Linked DNA regions of Caenorhabditis elegans. The protein of the gene in region 3 purifies or fractionates together with the protein of the main gene of each other region. This does not show direct contact. Each region holds a gene or a part of one and is shown on either strand. Other genes may lie near its edges.

Region 1 (8,772 bases), on a different chromosome or scaffold from region 3:
CAAGAAGTTTTAGGTTTAGTGGTTAGAAGTTAGAAGTGTCTGCGCTTGACCACAACAGGAGTTATACAAAAGAGCTTTCAAAACTTTCATACTGCTTTGAAGTCTCCTAGAAGTTGTGATAGTATGAAAGAAAGTTTCGAGAGTTTTCCAGAAAGTTGCGCCAAAACCGAATCTGATATTGATTTTATGGTATTTAGTATAGATTTAGTATAGTATCCCTTTTAGATTATCATCAAAATAATCTTAATTTTCAGACTCTCTGCGGATTGAACAATGATCTCTTCGGACCGGACAAAAACCCGAAAAAGCAGTTCAAAGCACCCACAAAAGTTGAAAAAGCTGATGTGAAAGATCCCCAATACGAAACATTGAATGGATTGGGTGAAGAAATGTTCAAGGACGAGAAGAAAGATGATGAAGGAAAGAAGAAGGAGTTCAAGCAACCGGATAAAGTGCAAAAGGCTGATGCAAAGGATCCACAATATGAGACTTTGAATGAAGTTGATAAGGGAATCTTTAATAATGAGGAGAAGAAGAGCGAGAAGAAAGATGCTGAAAAGAAGGATGACAAAGAGGAAAAGAAATCCGAAATTAAATAGCTCTTGTAACTCGAATAAACCATTTCATGAAATAATTTCGGCGCGCAAGAACTGTTACTCTTTGAGGAGGGCGCATTTGGAATGGTCTCGCCACGCGCCAGCCATTGATTTTTGAAGCGCGTGACGAGACCAATAAGTGGCAAGTGGCAGGACTATTTCGAAAAAATGCGCTCTCCTTTGAAGTCATATAAGTGTACAAAAATACACTGTACTTGAACTACACGTACCATACATTGCCACATTCGTATCCCCGGTTTCTCCATTAAATACTCCAAATCCAAAAACTCCGAGGCGGTAATTGAATGTCACAACTACAATATTTCTGTCCTGACCCACAAAATTGTTTATAAAAATTTCAGGTTTAAATGCGGAACCCGATTCGCAAACAAGTCGTCCACCATGTACCACAATCATTACGGAGCAGTTTTTCTGGAATATTGAAAAAAAAATTGAGAGAGAAGTTTTGCGTTTGTCCACTAAAATAGACGGTACCGTTCTCACGGTGCATCAAATGTTTTCTAATCGTAACCGCTGAAAATATATATGCGCCTTGAGAAGTACAGTAACCCCTTTTTCCTCGTTATTACTAGAACCGTATAGTGGTTACTGTACTATTAAAGGGACACACGCCTTCTGGCGTAGTTCGTGGCGAGAGCATCATGTGAAAAATTGCAAAGACTGTATAATACTGACATTTTGCAAGCAATACTGGTTTGTGAACACATTTGCGTATAGACAATCCTCTGAAATTTCTCCAACAAATCCATTTTTGAAAGTTTTCCTCCAATAACTCATACACGCAGGCTTATAATCCTTTGTCTCTAGAACTCCTTCCCATGATTTCAGAAGACGTGGTTTCCGGAATCGAAGTTCTCCAATTGGAGGTTCAACGTATGGTATGCCCAAAAATACGGTAGCAGTTTGATTTCCAAACGGCGAATAAGTAGCATTCAAGATTTTCCCTTCGATTGTTCCAGTTCTGAACAAAACAAATCAAGAGTTTTAGTCACACTGTTGCAATATATTTCGATTCTCAATGCGAAAGTACGGTATCCGGTCTTGCAGCGACGAATGAAACATTTCCAACTAAACAAACACCAAGACTTGCGCCTTTAAAAGGTACAATATTTTCAATTTGCAGTTTTCTTCGTTATTTCTTTTATTCTCATACTTTTTTCAGCGTTCCAGTTCTGCCTTCAAATAGATAAACGGAAAAAGGAGAATACCATGCAAATACCGTACTCTCTAAAGGCGCACACCAGTTTGTACAGACTTTCTTCAAAAATATATCATTCGTGGCGAGACCCGGCCCTGTATTTTTGCTTTAAAATCGGAAAAACTGAACAAACTCACGATAACTGAATTCTTGTAGAAATAGATAAATGTATCAGAACTGCGAAGTATAAATATTGTAAAATCATTCTCTGATGATCGATTAAACAGAGCCAACCGCTCTCATTTCTGGGAAATATGTTATGAAAACGATAAGAGATGGCACAGTGATAAGATAAATCAATTCTCTTTGGCTGATGAATTACTAATGTGGGAATCCCTTTGGAATCTAATGTTAATCGATTTTTCCTCAATCTGAAAATAAGTAGAAGTGCGCTAAATAAGAAGAGGATATATTTATCCAAACTGCAACAACAAAAAACACAACAATATAACTTGAAAAATAAAATACGCTCATAAAAAAACAATTTTAAAAATTAAAAATTATTCCTTGTGCTCGGTCAATTGAAATCCTGCCTTCGTCGAGTTCACTGATCCTTTTGCTTTCTGGCGAGGGCCCCAATTCTTCCCTTTATTGCATTGGAACCGTACAAGGTTCTCTTTCTTGGCCTGTTCGATGGCTCCTGGGTGAAGAGTGAAGTTGACTGTGTTGGTGATGGGTTGTCCGAGAATGTGATATCCTGCTGATTCTTTGGCCAGACGCTTCTCGCGATCCACACTTGTGTCTTTAGCCTGGAAAAAACATTTATTTGTGAATCGTATACTGTTTTTATGAGACTTACAACTTGTCTATAAATATCCCATAGCAAGTGCATCGGAGCATTTGTTTTGATTGCACGGGGATTACAGTGAGATCCAGAAACTTTGAAACCGGCATTTAAAATCGCAGATCTCACACTTTGAGATTTTGGAACGGAAACTTTCACAACATTCGCCATTTGGTTGTGCTCATAATATAAAACATCATCCAGTTCTTCATTGACCATCGTAAGAACACCTTGAAGACGTCCGTGAGTTCCAAGTCTTTCAGCTTCAGGAGTAGATTTCAGACGTTCCAGAAGGGAAGTGACGAACGGTTTGCTGTGAATTGGAGCAAGATAAATTGGACCAATTTGGTGGAGTGGAAGTAAGCAATGGATGCATCGATTGCCTGGACCAGAGATTGAATGACGGACTGTTGGAATTGAATATTTGCTTTGTTGATTTCCTTCTCCTCGTTTAAGCAGTACTAATGGCTCCATTGAATGACATCCAGAGCATACAAGCACAGTTCCGACTTTCCTAAAAATATAATTTAATGTTAACTAATTAAAGGAGAACTAATGGATTTACGGTCTTGATTTTGAACCAATGTCGGTTCAAAAATTCGGGAAAATGAGCTGGTTTTAATTAAAACCTGTAGTTTTGCCAACTTTTCCTTTCGCAGTGGTTGTCAATTAACCTTTACTTGATTATTATCATCTATTGCATAATTTCATCGTTAATCTCGTTACTCTATAAATTTATGCACTTTTTAAGTCGATAGGTATCAAATAATGATATTGGTTACCTATCGGCTTTAAATATCCATTAATTAATAAAATAATGTGAGATATAGTAAAAGTTAATTTCCAACAGCTTTGAAACAGAAAAATTGACAAAATTGGAGATTTTAGCTAAAAATAGTTGTTTTTTTCACAATTTTGAAAATTTTCTTCATTAAATTTAAATCTAGCTATTTTGAAACTTAAATTTTCTGTCAACTCACGTTCCACTCTGCTTCGCTTGAAAAGCTCCTGTGTGTACCCTGACAAAAACTCGAACGTAAAAATCAACGGAAATCGACACCAATGGCTCAATATATCTTGTATAACGATTGGCTGCAGAATCAATTGCTCGAAGTAAAATCCGAAGTCCAACTTCATGACAACACTTCATTCTAGTGGTAACTGCATCGTATTTGTTGTAGCATGCTTCTGGAGTGTTTCCGCATAAAACAGCCATGTCAGTGCACGTAACCATCAGAATTCCACGATCAGCGACACATTGGACTGCCGAGTCTAGAAATGTGGAAGCAGTTCCATATGGATCCAGGTCAACAGCATGGAATCGTTTATCAATACCGCGATGTTCCATCATTGTCATACTGAAATTAATTTTAGATTAAAGTTCGAATCAAGAAAAACTAATTTACACTGCATCTCCGAAATGTGCTTCAACTATATCCTCGACTCCATTCAATTTCACATTTTCTTGAATTGAAGCAACTGCGTTATCGGAGAAATCATTTGCCATAATGAATCCCACATTGGGAACTTCTTTCGAAAAACGCAATGCTCGCAGTCCCGAAGCAGAAAGCGCATCGAGAATTCGGATTTTGCCATCTTCATTGATAGCCAATTTATTTTTCTTTTTCGGAGGTTCTTCTTCTGTTTTCAATTGCTTCTGTTCCTCTGCCCATTTTTGATGATCAGCAGAAAATTGACGAAGAACTGTTACTCTGAAAGATAATTTCCTTAAAATACTGAGATTCAGACACAAACTCACGTCAAATCGCGATTAAACTCCTGAACTGGATTATAGAAAACTGGTCCATGGAAACCTACTTTTGCCTGTCCTAAAATAAAATGTTTAATTTGTTTTTAATTCTATTTGAACTCAAAACAAACCTTCCTGAATAACTGTCACTTCTTCTTTATCTTCGCTTTTTATTGCCGAATCTCCAGATGAATTGACATTCTCGGTCATTTTATACCGCGAAATTTGCTAAAAACTGAGATTTTTTTAAGATTAAATGTGCAGTGCTTGCCTTTCTACTTTTTATTTGCAAAATTCGGGAAAAAATACTGCGCGAAGGAAGAATAAAAAACGTTTTTGTCCTTGATTAAATTAAAGCGAATACGAATTAGAGAACTCCGAGAGGACAACACGAGAAAAGTTGTGATTGGAGCGCACTTGCGTTTCTTCCCTTTTCGCAAAAAACATTTTTCTGCACACATTTTTAGACGTTTCTTTCGTCAGAAAACCATTTTAATTGAGGCGGAATACACAAATTTCAGTGTCATGGAGGTAGAAAAAGCAGAAAAATGCTTGACTCCTCGAATAAATGTAAGCTACTCCTGAAATTCGCTGAAATTAAAATTATTTAACTTTCAGAATTTTTGGGAAAGAAAGAAAAATTACTTCGAGATTGCTGCTGTTCAATCAAGTGTTGGGAAAGTTAATCCTGATTTGCCGGTAGGAGAATATTACAATACATTCATAATTTTATATTTTTCAGGATGCACTCCTGGCTCCGTTGATCACAGTTTTGGATCCATGTACTATTCATTCCTCAATTCACGCAAAAGTCGATTGGAATCTAGTAGCATCACGACTAAAACGACTCAATATTTTGAGTAGGCAAACTCGCGGAGTTGCATCTCTAAATAGGCCATCGGGATCGCAAAACTTAGATGGGGCATCAGATATTGAAGGATCATCGGATGGAGGTTCATCTCCAGCGTTTCATCAAAGAAAACGAGGAAATAGCCGAGGAATAGAAGGAGCCGGAGAACCAATGGAAGTAGAAATGACTGAAGAAATGATGTTGAAAAAAGATAAAGACACATTTATCGATGAAATCGTGGATTTAGTTAGGGATATTCAAAAACGTATGTAACTACGTAGGATTCGAATTTCACAAATTAGATATATCTGCTGCATAGGTGGAAATGAACTGAATTGCATATAAAGAATACAATAAGCCTGAAAAAACTCGTGGCACTGAATGTTCCAATTGGGAAATTTGTTTCCGGCAATTCGGCAAAATTAAATACCTAGCTGTAATAGGTAATCTTGAAGAATTGCCGCTCACCCATAGTTCCAAGGAAAATGCGAAATGATTATTTGAATGAAATCCAAATAACTTCCAGACAACGACGCATCAATGTCTTCACAACCAACATGGATCGATCGATTATCAGTGGAAAAGATATCAAATCAAATATTGATGCTTCAGAATTATCTTCCATCGCTACTCACAGTCGAAGAAATTATAAATGCACTTCTCTTTGAACACGGACCAGATGTCATTGAAAATGTTGGTTCATTTTCTCGCGTTGTCATGAAAAATTCAAAATATTTCAGCTTATAATCGAAACGCCTGAAAATTTGGTCACAATTGTCAATATTCTGACTAACAATCCAACACCAGGAAATCGTACAAGATATAGAAATTTGGTTATAGGAAAAGTAAGCTTTCACATTAAATTAAAAAAACTATTTCAAGTTTTAAAGTAGATATTTTCAGATCGTCGAACTATATCCATACTTTGCACGCCGAATAATCGAAAAATATTCCGAAAAACGATCGGATTGTGTTTTTGCATGCAGATTAGCTGTTGATCATTTGAATGATAGACAGTTTTTAGAATTCATGGAACCACTTTTGACAGATAAAGAAACCATAATATACAAAATGGTAATTCGAAGTTCCAATCGACAAGTTCTTCCACTAATAATTGCACGTCTTCTCAATATGGCAGATACTGTTATTTCGCCACGTCCCGAATCCACATCATTTTCTGAAATGGGAACTGCTCCATGGTGCACTCGTCTTTCATATTGTCTCGTGGAACTTATGAACTCTGCATTGGAACCTTGGACTGAACTAGAAATTATTACTGTCACTAGATTTTTGTTTAGAACTGATGCAAATCCATCATCCTCAATATTACACTCTGCTGATTCAATATCTGGTATGGATGAAGCCATGGATTTGAGTTTTCGTGAAGAAGCTCACTGTTCACAAGATTCTGTTGTTCCTGATTCGGATCCTGAATCAACACAATCGGCTCAAAGACCAATACCGGTTTCCCAAAGGACTGCTGTAGAGCCCAGTCCATTCGGAGATGCTCATGAATGTTTTGTACTGTCTGCGCTGCTCGCCGTCCCGTTTTTCACACAGTAATCTAGAAAAGATGTTAGTTTTTAATTAATTAAAATTTATCCAGATATCCGCCTAATCAAACGGGAGCAGTTCAACCACCAGATCGAGCTGTTGAAAATTGGCTTGATGTGTCAAGAAGGAGAGTTCTGGCAGGGGAAAAGGTATCGTTCGGCTACAGCTCTACAAGATCTTGCTCTAAATATTCAATTATGGAGGAGATTATGTCGAATTAAAAAAAATTAGAAAAAGAGTCGAAAAACGAATATTTATATACATAAAAATCGGAAAAAATGTTTAAAAAGTTAACATAGAAAAAACATTTTCAAAAACCTATTATTTTAATATGAAAAGACATATTTTAACGCTATTTTCAGATTAATCGAAATTTTTTAGAGGTGCAGTAGGGTCAAAACAAATATTTTGCTCTAAATTATAGAAAATTAAACATTCTAAATTATTTTAACAATTATATTAGGTAATTAACCTGTTCCCTGTCTTTTAAATCATATGATTTTTCAAAATTACCTTTTATGAAAAATCAGAAGACACCCTTTTAAAAAACTTAATTATAAATAAAAATTTTCCGATTTTTTCAGGTCACATCAGCATTTGGATCGCATCTGATATATGTTCACTCGTGTATAATGTCTTCTCGAATCGAAGAGCTTTCGGAGTTTGCAAGTTATGGAATGAAACAAAAAGTTGAGCTTGTTAATCGTCAGAATCACGTTCTTGTACTGAAAAACACTTTCACATCACGTTGCATGACAGAAATGGAGGTTGCTAAGCGGTAAAACCTAGAGTTTGGAATTTACAGCACAATTTCAACTTTCAGAAGTATTTGCCAACTTGTCACAAAATGCTCTAATGGCGAGAGCTCGTACGCTCTTCGAACAATTCATGCACTTCAAGCTGCGGGGGTTTATAAGACATTCCAGATAAATATTAGGTCATGGTTGGAAGAACAATTGGATAATATAACACTGCCTGCTTCGCAACTTTTAGCAGAAGTTGTTGATGGATTTGCACATAGTTCTGCTCATTCCAAAGGAAAAGGTCTGAGTGAGGAATTTATTAAGGTTAGAATAAGATTTTGATTTTTACAAAAAAAATTACTGAATTTCAGAACACCTTCACTGGCGATGTATTCGATTCTCGTACGATTCCGAAACGGCTTTTCGTCCTATTTTACATTTGCTCGTACAGGGAAGCAGCTCAACGTCATGATGCGTCTCTTCGAAATTCGGTAATTAAATTTGAAATTGGAGTAGCGCAATTTTGGTCATTTCCCTAATACACTCAAAATGATTTTACAAAGGTTGAGTTGGTTCAAAATTTTGAAAATACCCATTTTGGTAAATTCACAGATTTTGCCAATTTGTAAGTGTTAGAGAAACCAAAAATTAATTTTTTCAAGTTTCGTGTTTAATTTGGACTCATATTCGGTCTTCAACAACAAACTCCGCATAATAAAGAACTAAAAACAACTTATCTCTGGTTTCTGCTACACTGAAAAATCGTCAAAATTTGAGAATTTAGCTTAAAATCGGTGTTTTTTCAACATTTTGTTGAACCATCTTAATTTTTTTTTTGAAATATTTACAAGACGTCTCATCATGAAATTCGGGTCGATTTGGGCTACTTCGAGTCTAATTTTTTACAGTTCAACTAAAATTTCATTTTCAGCTGTACGACAAGTCTATCTTCCTCAAGCTACCAGTTCGTTACATACTCTCAGTTATGGAATATCAGCACGAAAAGTTTGAGAATGTGAGATCCAAGATTGTAGGTTTTTTTCGCCAACTTTTCTCTATTTCAATTTTTGAAATTTTCAAGACCGCCAGAGCTGCAGTTCTATTTTCGTATTCTCTGCCAACTCCAGAATCAATGCAAATTGTGGCTGAAAATCATGAAAATGCATCAGCAGAAGTAATCGAGGAAGAACAATTTGGTAGCAATATCAATCAACGAATAAATAAATTAAAAGATATCAAGAATATTAAAATTATATTAGAAGTGATCAATCGAAGT
Region 2 (7,365 bases), 9.3 Mb from region 3:
ATCGTTGACCAGCTCATCGAGTATCTGGAAGCTCACGCGTTGACAATGGAAGGAGTTTTCAGGAAAAGTGCTAATATTGGAAGTATAAAGAGGCTACAGGATAGAATTAATAAAGGTATTTAATAGGCTAGGAAATTGAATTTTGATTTTGATTTTAATTTTAAATATTTGTTTCAGGCGAAAAAATTGATTTCGAAAATGATCCAGAGTACAAGGACAACGAATACGTGGCTTCCCTGCATGCTTCTGTACTTTTGAAGACGTTCTTCAGGAGCCTCGGAGAGCCCCTAACGACCAATAGGCTTTATCCGAAACTTGCGGCTCTTTCAGGTGAGAAAATATTTAAAGTCAATTGAAAACAGTGTTTATTTAATATCTGAATCTTTCAGAAGTATCGAAAACCGAGAAAAGCGCCGCCGTGAAAGAATTTGTGAAGCTTCTGCCTCGTGAAAACTACATTCTTCTGAAAACAGTCATCAAATTCCTAACTCGAGTCGCCGAAAACAGCAAAGTGAATCTGATGACTGCAAACAATTTGAGTGTCGTTTTCGGTCCAAATTTGACGTGGCCAACGGATCAAGAAGTGCCGATTTCTCAATTGAATAACCTCAATAACTTCTGCTATAAATTAATTGTGGATTATGATTCAGTATTTGATCATTGATCATTAGGGTGTTCAGCTTTTGCATTTTCCCCCGTTTTTCTGTACTTTTTTGCCTTACTGTAATTTATTTATTGCATCCATATTAAATAAAATTCAAAACACTTGTCATTTATACTAAAAATTAATTCACTGTATCCGTACTAAATCATATAAAACCGATGGTTTTCGACGATCACAAGAACATTTAGAAGTCAATAGATAATGAAGATCAATGATTTGTCGAGACGACGTTTACTTCTTTTCGGATTTGACGATGAGTGGGCCAACATTGTCGCCAGTCTCCTTGTTGTGCTTTCCATGTGATCCGTCACAGTATGGCCACTTCTCGCTCTTCCAGCATCTGCAGAATGCCTTCTTCTCTCCAATATCCTCAATATCGACGGTGTCGACGATCTTATTCGAGTCGAGCTGGATCTTGTAGTTGCAGCGAGCCGAACGCTGTCCGAACTTGTAACCAACCTGAAATTAATTAGTGAAATTGAAGAGGCTACATCAGGGGAAGGCTTGAACTTACAAGGTATCCAATAAGAGCTCCTCCCGCGAGAACGGCGGCAGTCGTGGCGACACAGCGACCAGAGACTTGAGTTGGGCAAGGCATGGTACCTGGAAAATTTAATTTAACAAAAAAAATTTAAGGAATAAGATTCAAGCGAAAAAAAATATATACGATTTATCATAAGGTAGATGCAAAATTTGGCGATTTTCGCATAAAAGTACAGTATCGGGTCTCGAAACGACCGCTTTGCTTTATTGGGAAAGAGTATGCGTCTTTAAGGAGTACTGTATCAATTTTCATAACTTTTTCAGAAGTGCTATCTTTTAAAATTTATGAGAGAATTCGCGAGTTGACAACTACAGTACTCTTTAAAGGCGCACACTCTTTCTATTGGAAAACCAGTCGCTTTGAGACCAGATACGTAACCTTTGACCAAAAAATCGGAAAATTGTGAATCTGTGTAATAAGAGGCAGTTCAATCAACAAATTATGCCAAAATTACCAAGCTCTGCAACAGAACAATGCTGTGGCGTTGTCCAACAACAGTGATCTTGAATGAGAGATAAAGCACAAAATCCAGCGATGGTCATTTTTCGAAGAAAATTGTAAAATATGTAGAAATAAATTTAAAAACCTTTTTTCGTAATCTATCGATTGATCTTTTTGATTAAAAAATTTGGACGTGAGAAGAAGAAAAATAACTTTTTTTCAAAGGTCAAATCGAAAAGAAAATCGATTTTTGTGAATTTGATATATTTTACAATTAGAATTTTTCGCTCATTTTCCGCCAAAAATCGAAAAATCTTCAGCCTCGTGGACATTATAAGATCACTAACAATTGTGAAAGAGAAAGAAAGTGACGTTGAAGTCGAGGCGGTCGCCTGAACATCAGCGCCAATCGCAGTAAAAACGAGAAAATGAGAGATAAGAGAGAAATAGACACAAGATACAAATTTCCGTGTGAAACTACGGAGCACAAAGAACATATAAATTCAGTGGAAACACTAATTTTTTATGTATTTATTTGAATTTTTGTCTCGAATAATAAAGGGATGAGAGAGGGAGGGATGGGATACAATTATTATGAACACTTTTCCACTAGAAATGCTCGCATAGGTTGATAGTCAAAGAAATCATTTGGATTCGATAAAACTTTCAGAACACAACAAAAAGAATCTAGAAGGCATCTGCACGGGTTTGACACGTGTTTTGTAAAAAAAAGAAACATAGAAAACTGAGAGTAATATGAAAAAAAAACAACAAAAAGAAATGAGAACTATTGAACCTAACCTATATGAGGAGAAACCTTGGAAAAGAGGAAAAATTGGGGGAAAAATTGGAGAAAAGATCAAAATTATCAACTCGAATGACCTCCTTCGAAAGACAACATGAATTTGAAAAGCTCGTAAACGGACCAGGAGAGAGCAGTTGCAGGAACCTGGAATAAAAATTATTAAACTGAGGTTTTTCTATTGCCCGGATACTGTACCAGGTCTCGAAGCGGCCGATTTTCTTAAATTTAACAGAGTGTGCGCCTTTAAGGATTACTAAAGTTGTTCTTCGATTTTTTGTTATTGTGATTTTCTGATATTTCGAAATTTTTCTTGATTATTGGAATAATATCATAAAAATTTGGCAACTAAATTTTTGTGTTTTTTTTTTCTGAACATTTTTTTTTCCAGAAAATCTAAATTTTATGTTTTCCGATTTTTACAAAAAAATAAAAAATCGGAAATTCTAGATTTTCTCTGGAAAAATCTAAATTTTTTTCGCTGTAACCGTTAGTTGGGAATTACAGTAATTCTTAAAGGTGCAGACCCTTTGCATTCAAAACAATCGATCGCTTCGAGACCGGTTACCGTATTTTTTGGCACGAAAATCAAAAATCTTAGACATTACCTGGAATATGACCCTAGCTTGTAATCCACACGAGAATCCGGATAGTCCACGTTGAGAATAAATTGTCCGTACGGCGTCAGAAATTCCACGATAACGATACCTAGCCTGTAATTCATTCTTTTCAATTATAGCAAAAAAATGCGAAGAATTCAAAAAAACTCACCTGCAAGAAAATTCGCCTATTTGCTGGATCAGCTTCTGCAGCTTGTTGCGTATTCAAAACGGTTTTCACACAATCCATTGGAGTCGTTAAAGCAGCTGCCAATCCGCCGGCAAGTCCTCCCGCAATTAAATGTGATTTCGGATCGTATTTATGCTCCGGATTCAGGACGTGCTGCCAGAATTCGTAACTCATAAAGTGAATTGCTTGGAATGGAACATTCATTGCCAGCTGTGTCGTGTATGATCTATAGAAAGCCGCCACACCTTCCCGATTATAAACACATCGAGCACATTCCAACGATGATCCGTATGGAGAGAAAGCCATTTGCATTCTTTGCTTCACTACTTCTGCTGGATTCATGATAGCGTCATGGATAAGTGTTGCAACAACTCCAGAAGCTCCATATGCTAACGTATTGCTGTGTCCCGCGGAGTTTCCCGTCAAATATCCCTTCATTTTCTCGTAAACTGTGAAGTATAGAGCGTGAGCTGGCATTGAGCCTGCAGCAACTGCATTAACTCCACGTAGCGGTCGAAGCCATCCTTCTCGTTTAACAATGCTCATCAGTGAATGTACAGGAGTTGGACATTTCGTTTCAGGGCACGGACAAAGTGATTGCATTCTCGTTTTGACCGAATCGAATGGAAACATGACACAATGCTCAACGGCTCCGGCCAGGGCTCCAGCTGTCAAGTGCACCTGAATCTTAGATTGTGATAGAATGGGAAACACTAATTGAAAATTAATTTAATAAAAAAATTTTAATTAATAAAAATGCGCCGAATTCGTAATGGAACTTCTCAAAAAAAAACACGTATTTTTTGAAGAAAACGGTTAATTTTTGCCGAAATCTTCAATTTTGTCAATCTCTTTTAATTAATTAAAATTCTTACCGGGACGCTGTGTGTTGGAAGTGATTCGTACTCATCTTCGCCACCGCCACCCATTTTGCCCAGTACTGAGTATCTGCTGAAAATGCGATTTAAAAATTTAATAATTGATTAAATTTAATAGATATATAAGTAGAGTTTGAAAACTCGATGGAAATAAGTTCAAAAAATCAGACTATTAGAAGAATTGGATTTCATTTAACAGACAAAAACACAAAATCAACAAAATAGTTAAATAACAACCTCGGAGGAGGAGGGAGAGTCTCGTGAAAAATTGATGAATGTTGGAAGTAGGCAGAGGGGATTATAAGGCCGGGTTCGGAAGTCGCCTGAAGATTGCTGGCCACTTTCCTCCGTCATTTCGAGTCACTTTTTGTCCTTCTTCAGTACTTTCAAAGAGCATTTCCACAATCGGATCTTTTTTCATTTCTTCTTCAGTCAGCCGTTCGAAAAGTGGATGCTCGCTGAGATGCTTGACCATCCATTCGTGTAGATCCTTGACATCAGTGATTGTGTAGATAATACCTGAAAAAATAAAAGTTATAACAAAGATCAATAGGCACAGCGGGAAAATGCACTTGTAGGTGCGCAGAGCTACAGAGAAAGGAACAGGTTTCTACTTAGCTATAGTTCTCACGTGGCACACATGGAACGGATTGTTAATTTTATTGGGCAGGGAATTGAAGATAGAAGCCTACGTGCAAATTTGAAACAATTAAAGCTTCAGAGATTGGAAAGTTTTCTGAGATCTATCGAAAGTCAAGAAAAATGTTCGGTGATGAAATGTCTCGCAGCAGCATACGGCCACGCGGTTAGATGATAAATATTGTTTGATGGCGAGAATTAGGGACACAAAGACACATTTTCAACCGTTGATACGCTATTCTTATCATTGAAACTATTCCTATTCCATTATCTGCACTTGTGATCACTGGTACGATCAAGGTCACTCTCATACCTCCTTCACGAAGCACATAAGCGTATTCGGAGAGCAGTGTTGGAGTGATGATCCGCCATTTGTGCTTCTTATTCTTGAAATGTGGATCTGGGAAAAGGAAGAACATCTTGGAAAGTTGTCCTTTGTGGAAATAATTTGGCATGTATTTCATGGCATTTGATCGGAGAACGGCTACATTTCTGTAGTGACCAGCTTCAGCGTGATGCTTTCGAAGTGCTTGGATTTTTTCGTTTACGTAATCCGACACTTTCACACGAATTTCCATACCGATCATCAGATTATCAGGATATTTAGGTGACAATCTCATCAAAAGACCTCCATAACCACATCCGATGTCTGCAAAATCCACTTGACGTCCTTTTGTGTAATCGCCGTAATATTTGGTCCAATCCATACTAAAAATTGTCAAAATTTAACAAAAGGTAACACTTTAATTTTACTCACTGGTTTGGAGTCAGTGGATATTCAATGTCATGATCAGAATGAGGATTCGAGTGAGCTCGCTGCCTGAAATCCTTTTTTATTAAATATTAAACTTTAGTTTTCTCAGAAACTAACCGATAATGCTTCTTTTGAGGCAACCCTGGAACTGTCTCGCAAGTAGGTTTGTGATCCAATTCCATTTCTGTCAGCGCAGGAGTTATGTCCATGTTTTTGCTGAAAATCACGAGTAAATTATGTAAATATTTACGTAAATTATACATTGAGGTAGTTGAAAAATGCGCAATTTAATTTTAAAAAGTTAAATTTTAATAATTTAAAAGTTATATTTACTGAAAGTTAACTTTAAAGTTATAAAAGGAAAAAAATTAAAATAAAAAAATGAGAAGATCGTGAAGTGCGCCAAGCGTAACTCGATTTGCGCCAGCAATCAATTTTCGTGCGCAACTTTCGTGTTGGGGAGTTCTCGGCGTCTCCTAGGTTTCGCATTGTCTCTCGCCTTCTTCACAACAATTCCCGTTGCTTCACTTACAACAAAAAAGACCGGACAACCACTGCAGTTGTTCTGAATATACTTCTCACAGCCACGCATTCGTTCTTTTTCTCTTATTCTGTCACATAACTTTCCCCTCAACACCTATTTACTCTATTTACAGCCGGATTTCTTTTCTGATCCCCTCAAAAAGTAATTTCCAATTTTCAGAATTCAAATGCATTGATTTATCGGTAAAAGCTACTTAAAATGAGGACCTCACACTGCATAATACGTAGTTTTTCTCCGAAACGACTTATCATTTTCGTTGCCGCCTCCACACTAATCTATGTAATGCTACTCAGAAATTCTACATTAAATGATGAAAGAAGGTTTGTTTTTGATATATTTTTATAAATGTGAGATACTAAATATTAAATAGTCTCCAGGATAGCAGCGACTGAAGAGCAAGTTCGATCTGTCAATGTCAATGTACAGCAATCAAAAAACAGCGGAGTCGCTGAAAGAACACACGATATAAAGGATCCTGTTGAATTGGAAATTGCTCGACAGACGCTAACATTTTTAAATATGGAAGAAGCCGTCACAAAACCAAAGCCACCGGTTAAAATGTAAGTTTTTTCAGTGATTATTGTGAATCTAAACTAAACGTTTTTTTTATTTTTTCAGCGCCGAAGAGGACGGATCTTGTCCAATAGTTGAGAAAATACCAGATCTTCAAGGCGCTCTTCCACAAGCCACACTTTTGATTCAAAATCTTCAAGAAGGAGAAGTACACGCAATTCATCCAGAACTTGGCCCAGGTGGCTCATGGAAACCGGATGATTGTCAGGCTCGCGATAAAATCGCAGTGATAATTCCATATCGAGAAAGGCAAACTCACTTGACTCGATTGATCGACTTTTTGATTCCAATACTTCAACGACAGCGGCTAGATTTTCGATTCATTGTTACTGAACAAGTAAGAATTTTTTTAAAGCAATGCTTAAATAAAAATATTAAATTTTCAGTATGGAAACGACTTGTTCAACAAAGGCCGAATTATGAATGCTGCATTTATCTTCGCAGAAAGCCTTGGAGTCGATTGTGTAGTCTTCCACGACGTCGACATGTTCCCACAAGACGATCGGAACCCGTATTCGTGCCCACCTGGTCCACGTCATCTTGGAGCTTTTGTCAGTAATCTGGGATATCAATTGTGGTACAAGGAGATTGTCGGAGGCGTTTTAGCAGTATCAATGGCAGATTATCGTGCAGTTAATGGATATTCAAATCAATTCTGGGCGTGGGGAGGTGAAGACGATGATATGGGACAGAGAATACTTTCATTAAATTACACAATTGAACGACCAAATCCTGAA
Region 3 (8,579 bases):
AGTTTTTGCGAAGTTTTTGTGAAAAATTCGAATTCTCCGTGAAATTTTAGCTATCGCAGCAAAAAATTCTGAAATTTTCGGCCAAATTGCGAATTTTTCGCTAAAGTTCGAAAATTTAGCTGAAATGTTGGATTTTCGAGTTCCAAAGTTTTTTTTTCTGAATTTTTAGAGTTAAATTTGAATTTATCAATGTTTATTTAGTCTAACCGTGAATTTTTAGCTCAAAAATCGAAAATCGCGTGAAATTTGGTGTTTGCGTACTTTTGGAGCTACCGTACCCCTGGAAATTTCAAAATTGAGCTATAAACCTCTAGTTTTCGATTTTCCGACTCAAATTTTGCAGAGAATTCGAATTTAGCAGCGAAAATTGGTAAAAAAATTTTTTTCACCCAAAATTTTCAACTGAAACCCTAACTTTCAGATTATTCCCGAAAATTTGGAAAATTTTAACTAGAAAATTCAAATTCCTCGCAATATTTCCCAAAATTTGAGCCCCATATCGACCTGATTCGGTTGAAAACTAAAAATTCACCAATTTTTGTCGCGCGTTGCGGTCGCGCGTCGCGGTCGAAATTTGTTCAAATTCTTCAAAATAATGCGATTTTCAGCTAGTTTTCGCATTTCCAAATTGAAATTTTGCGAGGAATTCGAATTTGGCAATGAAAATCTGAAATTTTTGAATTTTGCAGAACCACCACTATCAGAACCGGAGCACGTGGAACGAGAACCCCAAAATGCAGAGGAAATTGTCGCTCACCGGATTGTTAACGACGCGATGAATGAGCTTTTCAATCAGGAATAATTTGGGAAATTTTGAGATTTTTTTGGATTTTTCGGCGAAAAATGAATCAAATTTCGGATTTTTGCAGTAGAAAATCGGATTTTCCATCAAAAATCGTCCTAAAATATAAATTTTCAATTTTTCTTCCGAAAATTCCCAGAAAATTCCCAATTTCCGAGCCATTTTTATTTGTGATGTTTGTGCCCCGCCCACTTTTTCCCACCTAATCATTCCATTTCCCGCCCCGCCCCCTTCCGCCAACAAAAATCGATAATTTAATTTTTTTTTTTCCAAATTTTTTTTGAATTTTATCAGAATTTTTGCTAGAAAACCGCACAAAAATTTCGTTATAGTCAATGGGTATTTTTTAAATTTTTTGTTTCCGATTTTTCGGAGATTTTTATCGAAATCACCGAAAAATCGATAATTTCCGTGAAATTGTGATATACCAAATTTTTATTGATTTTTTTTTCTTCGTTTCTCTGTACATTTTCACTTCATTTCCTGTTTCTTCCAATTTTCCTGATACAAATAAATTATGAATTAAATCTGAAAATAATATATTTTTGGTCGTCAACTTTCCCCAGATTTACCTAAAAACAATACTATTACTAATTTTTTTTTTTTTTAATCCTTAAAAATCGATCTGAAACTCAACATTTCTGGTTTTTATTATCAAATTCGAGTTCCCCACTGAATTTGAGGCAGAAATTCGAAACCTAGAAGTTTCTAGCTCTTTTTTGAATAATTTCGAATTTCGACCGCAACGCGCGTCAAAAATTGCTGAATTTTTAGTTTTCAACCTATTCTGGTCGATATGGGGTTCAAAATTTAGCAAATTTTGCGGGGAATTCGAATTTTCTAATTAAATTTCTCCAAATATTCGGGAGTAGTCTGAAAGTTAGAGTTCCAGTTGAAAATTTTGAGTGAAATGGACTAAAAATTAATTTTTACACATTTTCGGAGCCAAATTCGAATTCCCCATCAAATTTCAGTCTGCAACTCGAAAACTAGAGTTTTCTATCTCAATTTTGACATTTCTAGGAGTACGGTAGCGCCAAAAGTACGCAAACACCGAATTTCACGCAATTTTCGAATTTTGAGCTGAAAATTTAGGAATAGACTAAGAAAATAGCGGAGAATTCGAATTTAATTATAAAAATTTTTTGAAAATGTTTTGAATATCACTTGGGCCGAATTTTTTCATTTTTGCGACCAAAACACAAAATTTCCTATTTTTCAAAATCTAGAAAAAACGAGGATGGTCAGCAAATCCCGAAAGGAAGTATCATCTGTTTCCGTCTCGACAATTTTCCCTAACACGCAGAGACCCCCGCCGGAAGACGGGGGTCTCTGTGAGGGGTCATCGAAAATGAGCAGTCCCAAGAGATTTGGACCTTTTTTTTGCAGAAAAACACAATTTTTCTGTAGTTTTTTCCTGGAAAAAGATGTCAAGTTTAGGTGTTTTCATCGAATTTTTTTGGAAATTTCTTGCAAATTTCAATTTTTACAAAACTTAAAATTTTTCCTGAAAATTTTCATTTTGAAATTCGAATTCCCCGCCATTTTCTTAGTCTATCCCTGAATTTTCAGCTCGAAATTCGAAAATCGCGCCAAATCGGGTGTTTTGGGGGTACTGTAGTCGGTGTTTGCGTATTTTTGGGGCTACCGTAACCGGGAAAAATTCAAAATTGAGCTAGAAAGCTCTAGTTTTCGGGTTTCTTTCTGAAATTTTGCAAGTAAATCAAATTGGACATGGAAATTTCGAATATTTTAGCAATTTATCGATTTTCAGAGATTTTTGGCGTTTTTATTAAGTTCAAAAACGATTCGCAGTATTCTAAATGTAAAATTCGAATTCTCCACCGTTCAATTAGTATATGTGTAAATTTTCAGCTCAAAATTCGAAAATCGCGTCAAATTTGGTGTTTCCGGGTTACTGTAGTCGGTGTTTGCGTATTTTTGTAGCTACCGTACCCCAAGAAATTTCACAATTAAGCTAAAAACTTCTAGTTTTCTCGTCTAAAGCTGAAATTTTGCGGGGAAATCGAAACTATTAATGAAATTCTTGAAATTTGAGTTTCAGACTGATTTTCAGACTGTTTTCGGCTCAGCTCCCAAGCCAAAGATCAGTTTTTTTCCCTGTCTAGTCACCACAGCTGTCAGGGGGTCCCAAGAGATGAGCCCTCAAAGATAAATTTTCTTTGCGCAGCCAAAAAAAACTGACCGCCCAGCCATTTATTTTTGACAATTTTTAGACCGACTGGCAGTGCCAGGACTCCCAAAAAGAGGCGAAGCTTCCGTTTTGGGTCCTCTTTTTTCTTATTTTTTGCGGAGAAAAGAAAAGAGGCGTTGATTGTTTTTCTTGTTTGAAAAAGAACCAGAAAACATGAATTTTCATACATTTTCTATTGAAAATTGCCGGAAAATAAGTCTGAAACCCAAATTTTTGAAATTTTATTATAAAAATCAAGTTCCTCGCAGAAATTCAGTTTTGAACTCGAAAACTAGAGCTTTCTAGCTCAATTTTGAAAGTTTGAGAGTTACGGTAGCACCAAAAGTACGCAAACACCGACTACAGTACCCCCGAAACACTGAATTCGACGCGATTTTCGAATTTTAAGCTGAAAATTCATGGTTAGACTAAGAAAATGACAAGGAATTTGAATTTGATAATAAAAATCCGGAGAAATTTTTTGATTTTTTTTGAAATCAAAGATTGAGTCACAAAAATCTTCTGAAAAAGACCTCACAATTTTTTATTTAAATTTTTAGTTTGAAATTTGAATTCCCCGCCAGTTTCTTAGTCTATCCCTGAATTTTCAGCTCAAAATTCGAAAATCGCGTGAAATTCGGTTTTTTGGGGTATTGTAGTCGGTGTTTGCGTACTTCTGGCGCTACCGTAACCCGGGAAATTTCAAAATTGAGCTAGAAACTTCTAGTTTTCGGGTTTTAGCCTGAAATTTTGTAAGGAATTCGAATTTTGCAGTCAAGTTTTAAAATTTTGGCTTAAAAATCGATTTTCATAAGATTTTCAGCCAAAAATTTGAATTTTTTTTTCAAAATTTTTGAAATTTTTGAATTTTCTCCAATTTCTTCCAAACACTCCCAAGTGTCATATTAACCAATTTTGACCCCAAAAAAGTGCAAAATGTCCCCACAGAAAGTCTCCCAAAAGTGCAAAAAACCAGTGAAAAGCTGTCAATCTCATCATCCGGCCGCCGTCTCAGATTTCTCCCCCTTTTTTGCACTTTGCGCGTCAAAAAAGGGCGGCAGAATGAAATTCGATTAGAAATTCTTTCTTTTGTCGCCTTTTTTTCTATTTTTGGGAGAAAAAAATTTTTTGAGAAAAAAATTTTTTTTTTTTTTTGGAAATTTTTTTCCAGATTTTCTTTTTTTTTCTAAATTTTCGATTCTTTTTTAAAAAACATTTCCATTTTTTCAGATGTCAATGCCAACTCCCCAGTATCGGCTCCAAGCGATTCGAGCCCATGACGTCTATGAGCCAGCCGAGGACACGTTTCTCCTCATTGATGCTATTGAGAAGGATATTAAGGTAAAATGAGTAGGAAATTCGAATTTCTCGTAAAATTTCGGTTGGAAGCGCGGAGAACTAGAAATAATTTTGAAAATTTTTGAGAAAAAAAAATTTGGAAAATTTGGCGAACAAAAATTTACAACATTTTTTAGCCTAAAATCAATTGAAACTTTTTTTTTTGGTTTTGATAATAAATTCGAATTCCTCGCAAAAATCCAGTCTAGAATCCCAAAAACTAGATGTAAATTGCTCAATTTTGAAAAATTTTGCATTTGAGCCGCGACGCGACCGCAACGCACCTCAAAATTGCAGATGTTTTGGTTTTTAACCGAAACTAGTCGATGTGGATGTCAAAATTTCGGAAATTTCGCGAAGAATTCGAATTTTTAGTTAAAACCGTGAATTTTCAGAAAGAAATATTCTTAAACTTGAAATTTTTGCCGAGTTTTTAGTCTGAAATTTAAATTTTAAAATTTTCATTGCCGTATTTGAATTCCCTGTAAAATTCTAGTCAGACACTCAAAAACTAGAAGTCCCTAGCTCTTTTTTGAAATTTCGAGGGTTACGGTAGCGCCGAAAGTACGCAAACACCGACTACAGTACCCCCAAAACACCCGATTTCACGCGATTTTCAAATTTTGAGCTGAAAATTCAGTTTTAGACCAAATAAATGGCGGGGAATTCAAATTTAAGGATGAAAATTCGCGGAAAAGTTTTTGAACCAGTGAAAAATCTGAAAAAAATCCCGAAAAACCTCAAATTTCCAGGAAATCCGATCTCGCGACCCCAAGCTTGTACTGGAAATCGGATGTGGTTCGGGAGTCGTCTCGACGTTCGTAAATCAGGCTCTCGGCGGAAATGTGACGTCAGTGGCGACTGACTTGAACCCACACGCGTTGGATGTGACACTGGAGACCGCAAAGCTCAATGATATTAAGATTGATGTGGTTCGTACGGATTTGTTTGCAGGATTGGAGAATCTACTTGGGAAGGTTGGTAAAGTTAGAGAAAAATTTGAAAAGTTGAAAAAAAATCATAAAAGTCGAAGGCTTTTGAAGAAAATTCCTCGAAAACTGGTGTCCACAATTTTTTATCAGAATTTTCATTATCAAATTCGAATTCACCGCTATTTTCTTAGTCTAAACCTCAATTTTCAGCCCAAAATCCGAAAATTGCGTAAAATCGAGTGTTTTGGGGTACTGTAGCTGGTGTTTGCGTACTTTTGACGCTACAGTAACCCTCAAAATTTAAAAATTGAGCTGGGAAGCTCTAGTTCTCGAGTTTCTGACTGAAATTTTAAGAGGAATTCGAATTTACAATTCAAATTCAGAAATTATCAAGTAATTTTGACACGCGCTGCGGTCGCGTCGCGGCTCGAAACTCGAAAATGTTTAAAATAACGCTAGAAAAGTCTAGTTTTTTTGCAACTTATTTAGAATTTAATGGAGAATTCAAATTTCTAATGGAATTATAAAAAAAAGAAATCTCAGAATTTATAGAAAATGTCTCCCGGTAACACAATTTCCGTGATATTTCTCGTGTTTTTATGTAAATTTTTGAACTCTCCACAAAATTCCCAAAGTTTTGACACCCATATCGACTAGATTCGGTCAAAAACCCAGGGTTTTGGCTTTTTAACGTGCGTTGCGGTCGCGTCGCGGCTCGAAACTCGAAAATCTTCAAATTTAAGCTACAAACCTCTAGTTTTCGATTTTCTCACTGATTTTTCGCAGGGATTTCGATTTTGCCGATGAAAATTTAGGTTTTCTGAGTTTTAGCGACGAAAATTTTCTTTTTTTTCCAAATTTTTATTTTCCAGGTAGACGTGCTCCTCTTCAACCCACCGTACGTCCCTACTGACGAAGAGCCCAAATCAAACATCGAATTGACCTACGCTGGCGGCCGAACCGGTAGATCAACGCTCGATCGTCTTTTGCCACGTGTCCCCGAGCTTCTGTCCCCACGTGGTGTCTTCTATCTCGTCGCACTTCACTCGAACGATATCCCGGCACTGCTCAAAGAGCACTCGGAGCAAATGACGGTGTCAGTGTCAATGGAGCGCCGTTGCGGCATCGAACATTTGTATATTTTGAAATTTGTGATGAAGGAGAATAATGTTAAAGCGGCGCCACTTGCGGAAATTGAATAAATTTGTTGTTTTTCTTGGATTTTCGATAAAATTCACGGAACTTCAATAAAAAATCTGAAACCACTGCATAATTTCAGTTTGTATTCGAGAAAACTAGACGTTTCTAGCGATAATTTGAAAATGACCACTGCAAGGCCGCGACGCGACCGCAACGCACCACAAAAACCTTTTTATTGACGAATTCGAATTCTCCACTATTCAATTAGTCTCTCCATAAATTTTTAGCTTAAAATTCGAAAATCGCGTAAAATCGTGTGTTTGGGGGTACTGTAGTCGGTGTTTGCGTACTTCCGGGGCTACAGTAACCCGGGAAACTCCAAAATTGAGCTAGAGAGCTCTAGTTTTCGAGTTTCAGGCTGAAATTTTGCAAGGAATTCGAATTTTACGGTGAAAATCTAAAATTTTGCGATTCAGATCATTTTTAGACAGTTTTAAAAAACTAAAAAAATTCTGATCTGCTTAAAAACTTTTTGCCACATTTTCCAAATCTTCTCAATAGCTCGAATGTGATTGTTCCTAATTTCAAATAAATTTTCAAATGTGAAATCATCTTCTGACTTGAGTTTTCAGTCAGTTTCTAGTCACTTGTGACTTCCAGGCCACAGAAAAGCACAAGAAGCACACACATTTTTGTGCGATTTTGTGTGGAAAGTGACCAAAAAGTCAGTAGCTGGCTAGAATCACAGGCTACTGATAAGAAAATGACTTCATCAGTACAAATTGAACTGATTTCTAGCTTATCAGTATACGAGTATTTAAGTTGAAAATGAGAAAGGAGGAGTAGTCTACACATAATGTCTATAGCCTGGAGTTGCTTTGTTTTAGGGCTTTTTGGTGAGTTTTTGATTTTATAAACTTAAAAAAAAAAAATTTTCCAAAAAAATTTAGAATGTTTTCTATTTTTTTCTTAAATGTCCACTAAAAAATTTAATTTTCCACTTCATTTCTAGCTAAACACAAAAAACTAGACCTCTCTAGGTCCATTTTGAAGATTTTAGTATTTGAACCGCGACACGACCGCAACGCACCCCAAAATCCTAAAATTCTTGGATTTCATCCGAATATAGTCGATATGGGTGTCAAAACTCAGCAAATTTCACCAGGAACTTGATTTTTATTACCTAAAAAAGTTACGATATACCGTTTTTCCAAAAAAAAAACTTTTCTTTAATTTATCTTTAAAAATTTTTGAAAACAATATTAAACAATTTTTTCAGCACTCAATTCGAAAGCCAATTCAACTCAAAATTTTAATATTAATACAAAAAACTAGACCACTCTAGCTCCATTTTGAAAATTCCCATATTTGAGCCGCGACGCGACCGCAGCGCACCCCAAAATCCTATAATTCTTCGATTTTGTCCAAATATAGTCAATATGGGTGTCAAAACTCAGAAAATTTCATGACTAATTCGAATTTTTCAACGAAAAATTCAAATTTTTCAGCCCTCGCCTCCCTCCAGGTGGCACTCGCCAATGATTGCGCCCAAAAAACCTTCAAAACCGGAATTGTGTGTGTCTGCAACATAACTTATTGCGATGAGATCCCAGATATCAACTTACTATCCGGGCAGGCTGCCACATTCACAACTTCCAAATCCGGAGCCCGACTGCATCGGGATGTGGTTTATGCGACAAATAGTGACCCTTGTAAGCAACTTTTTTTTTGAAAATTTTTACCGTAATCTCAAAAACTACAGTAACCAGCATGCACTTCACAATTGACTCGTCAAAAACATATCAGACAATCCAAGGATTTGGCTCAACGTTTTCCGATGCTTCTGGTGCGAATTTGAAGAGCTTACCCGATCAGATGGCTGATACAATTCTGAGACAGTATTTTTCGGATTCTGGTAAGTTATTCGATAGAAAATTCAAATCTCTACAACTTTCCCTCTTGAACCAACATTCTAGGACCAATTTGAAGAAAGTTATAGCAATAGTTCAATGGAGCGCGTTTGCACCATCGAAATTTTTTGCCAATTTTCAATTCCTTGTAACTTTGTTCAACGGAAAGCTACGAAGTTGGTGCAAACTGGAAAATAGTAGATCATAACATTTTCTATCGATTGACATAAATTTTGAATAAAATCTGTGAGGTTTTGCAAGTG

What was found.
Region 1: the proteins of mtq-2 (region 3) and trm-1 fractionate together in Caenorhabditis elegans (co-fractionation; one large-scale study listed by BioGRID). This does not show direct contact.
Region 2: the proteins of mtq-2 (region 3) and metl-1 fractionate together in Caenorhabditis elegans (co-fractionation; one large-scale study listed by BioGRID). This does not show direct contact.

The regions. Positions count from the first base shown.
Region 1 is NC_003283.11:14,180,911-14,189,682, forward strand, and holds trm-1 (tRNA (guanine(26)-N(2))-dimethyltransferase), read right to left. Parts: upstream 4,700-8,772; 5' UTR 4,621-4,699; intron 4,578-4,620; 5' UTR 4,560-4,577; coding exon 4,481-4,559; intron 4,429-4,480; coding exon 4,359-4,428; intron 4,312-4,358; coding exon 4,006-4,311; intron 3,958-4,005; coding exon 3,580-3,957; intron 3,114-3,579; coding exon 2,615-3,113; intron 2,565-2,614; coding exon 2,316-2,564; 3' UTR 2,214-2,315; downstream 1-2,213. Other genes in the region: cest-2.3 (Carboxylesterase type B domain-containing protein), read right to left, coding at 827-1,028, 1,293-1,578, 1,953-2,020; ZC376.8 (DUF236 domain-containing protein), read left to right, coding at 255-599; ints-2 (INTegrator complex Subunit homolog), read left to right, coding at 4,875-4,919, 4,968-5,048, 5,092-5,464, 5,726-5,892, 5,940-6,044, 6,103-6,758, 6,806-6,902, 7,338-7,531 and 4 more. UniProt on the Caenorhabditis elegans protein: Dimethylates a single guanine residue at position 26 of most tRNAs using S-adenosyl-L-methionine as donor of the methyl groups.
Region 2 is NC_003280.10:11,467,843-11,475,207, forward strand, and holds metl-1 (tRNA (guanine-N(7)-)-methyltransferase), read right to left. Parts: upstream 5,734-7,365; 5' UTR 5,721-5,733; coding exon 5,629-5,720; intron 5,578-5,628; coding exon 5,515-5,577; intron 5,466-5,514; coding exon 5,071-5,465; intron 4,638-5,070; coding exon 4,417-4,637; 3' UTR 4,293-4,416; downstream 1-4,292. Other genes in the region: rga-1 (Rho GTPase-activating protein 68F), read left to right, coding at 1-115, 178-330, 390-664; cisd-1 (CDGSH iron-sulfur domain-containing protein 2 homologue), read right to left, coding at 896-1,123, 1,179-1,267, 1,663-1,750; slc-25A37 (Mitoferrin), read right to left, coding at 2,518-2,598, 3,060-3,176, 3,223-3,927, 4,116-4,169; ngat-1 (Beta-1,4-N-acetylgalactosaminyltransferase), read left to right, coding at 6,254-6,375, 6,433-6,615, 6,674-6,965, 7,015-7,365. UniProt on the Caenorhabditis elegans protein: Catalyzes the formation of N(7)-methylguanine at position 46 (m7G46) in tRNA.
Region 3 is NC_003280.10:2,185,105-2,193,683, reverse strand, and holds mtq-2 (Methyltransferase HEMK2), read left to right. Parts: upstream 1-4,226; coding exon 4,227-4,337; intron 4,338-5,086; coding exon 5,087-5,311; intron 5,312-6,138; coding exon 6,139-6,468; 3' UTR 6,469-6,535; downstream 6,536-8,579. Other genes in the region: Y59C2A.2 (Membralin), read left to right, coding at 690-802; gba-2 (Putative glucosylceramidase 2), read left to right, coding at 7,263-7,302, 7,915-8,118, 8,169-8,321.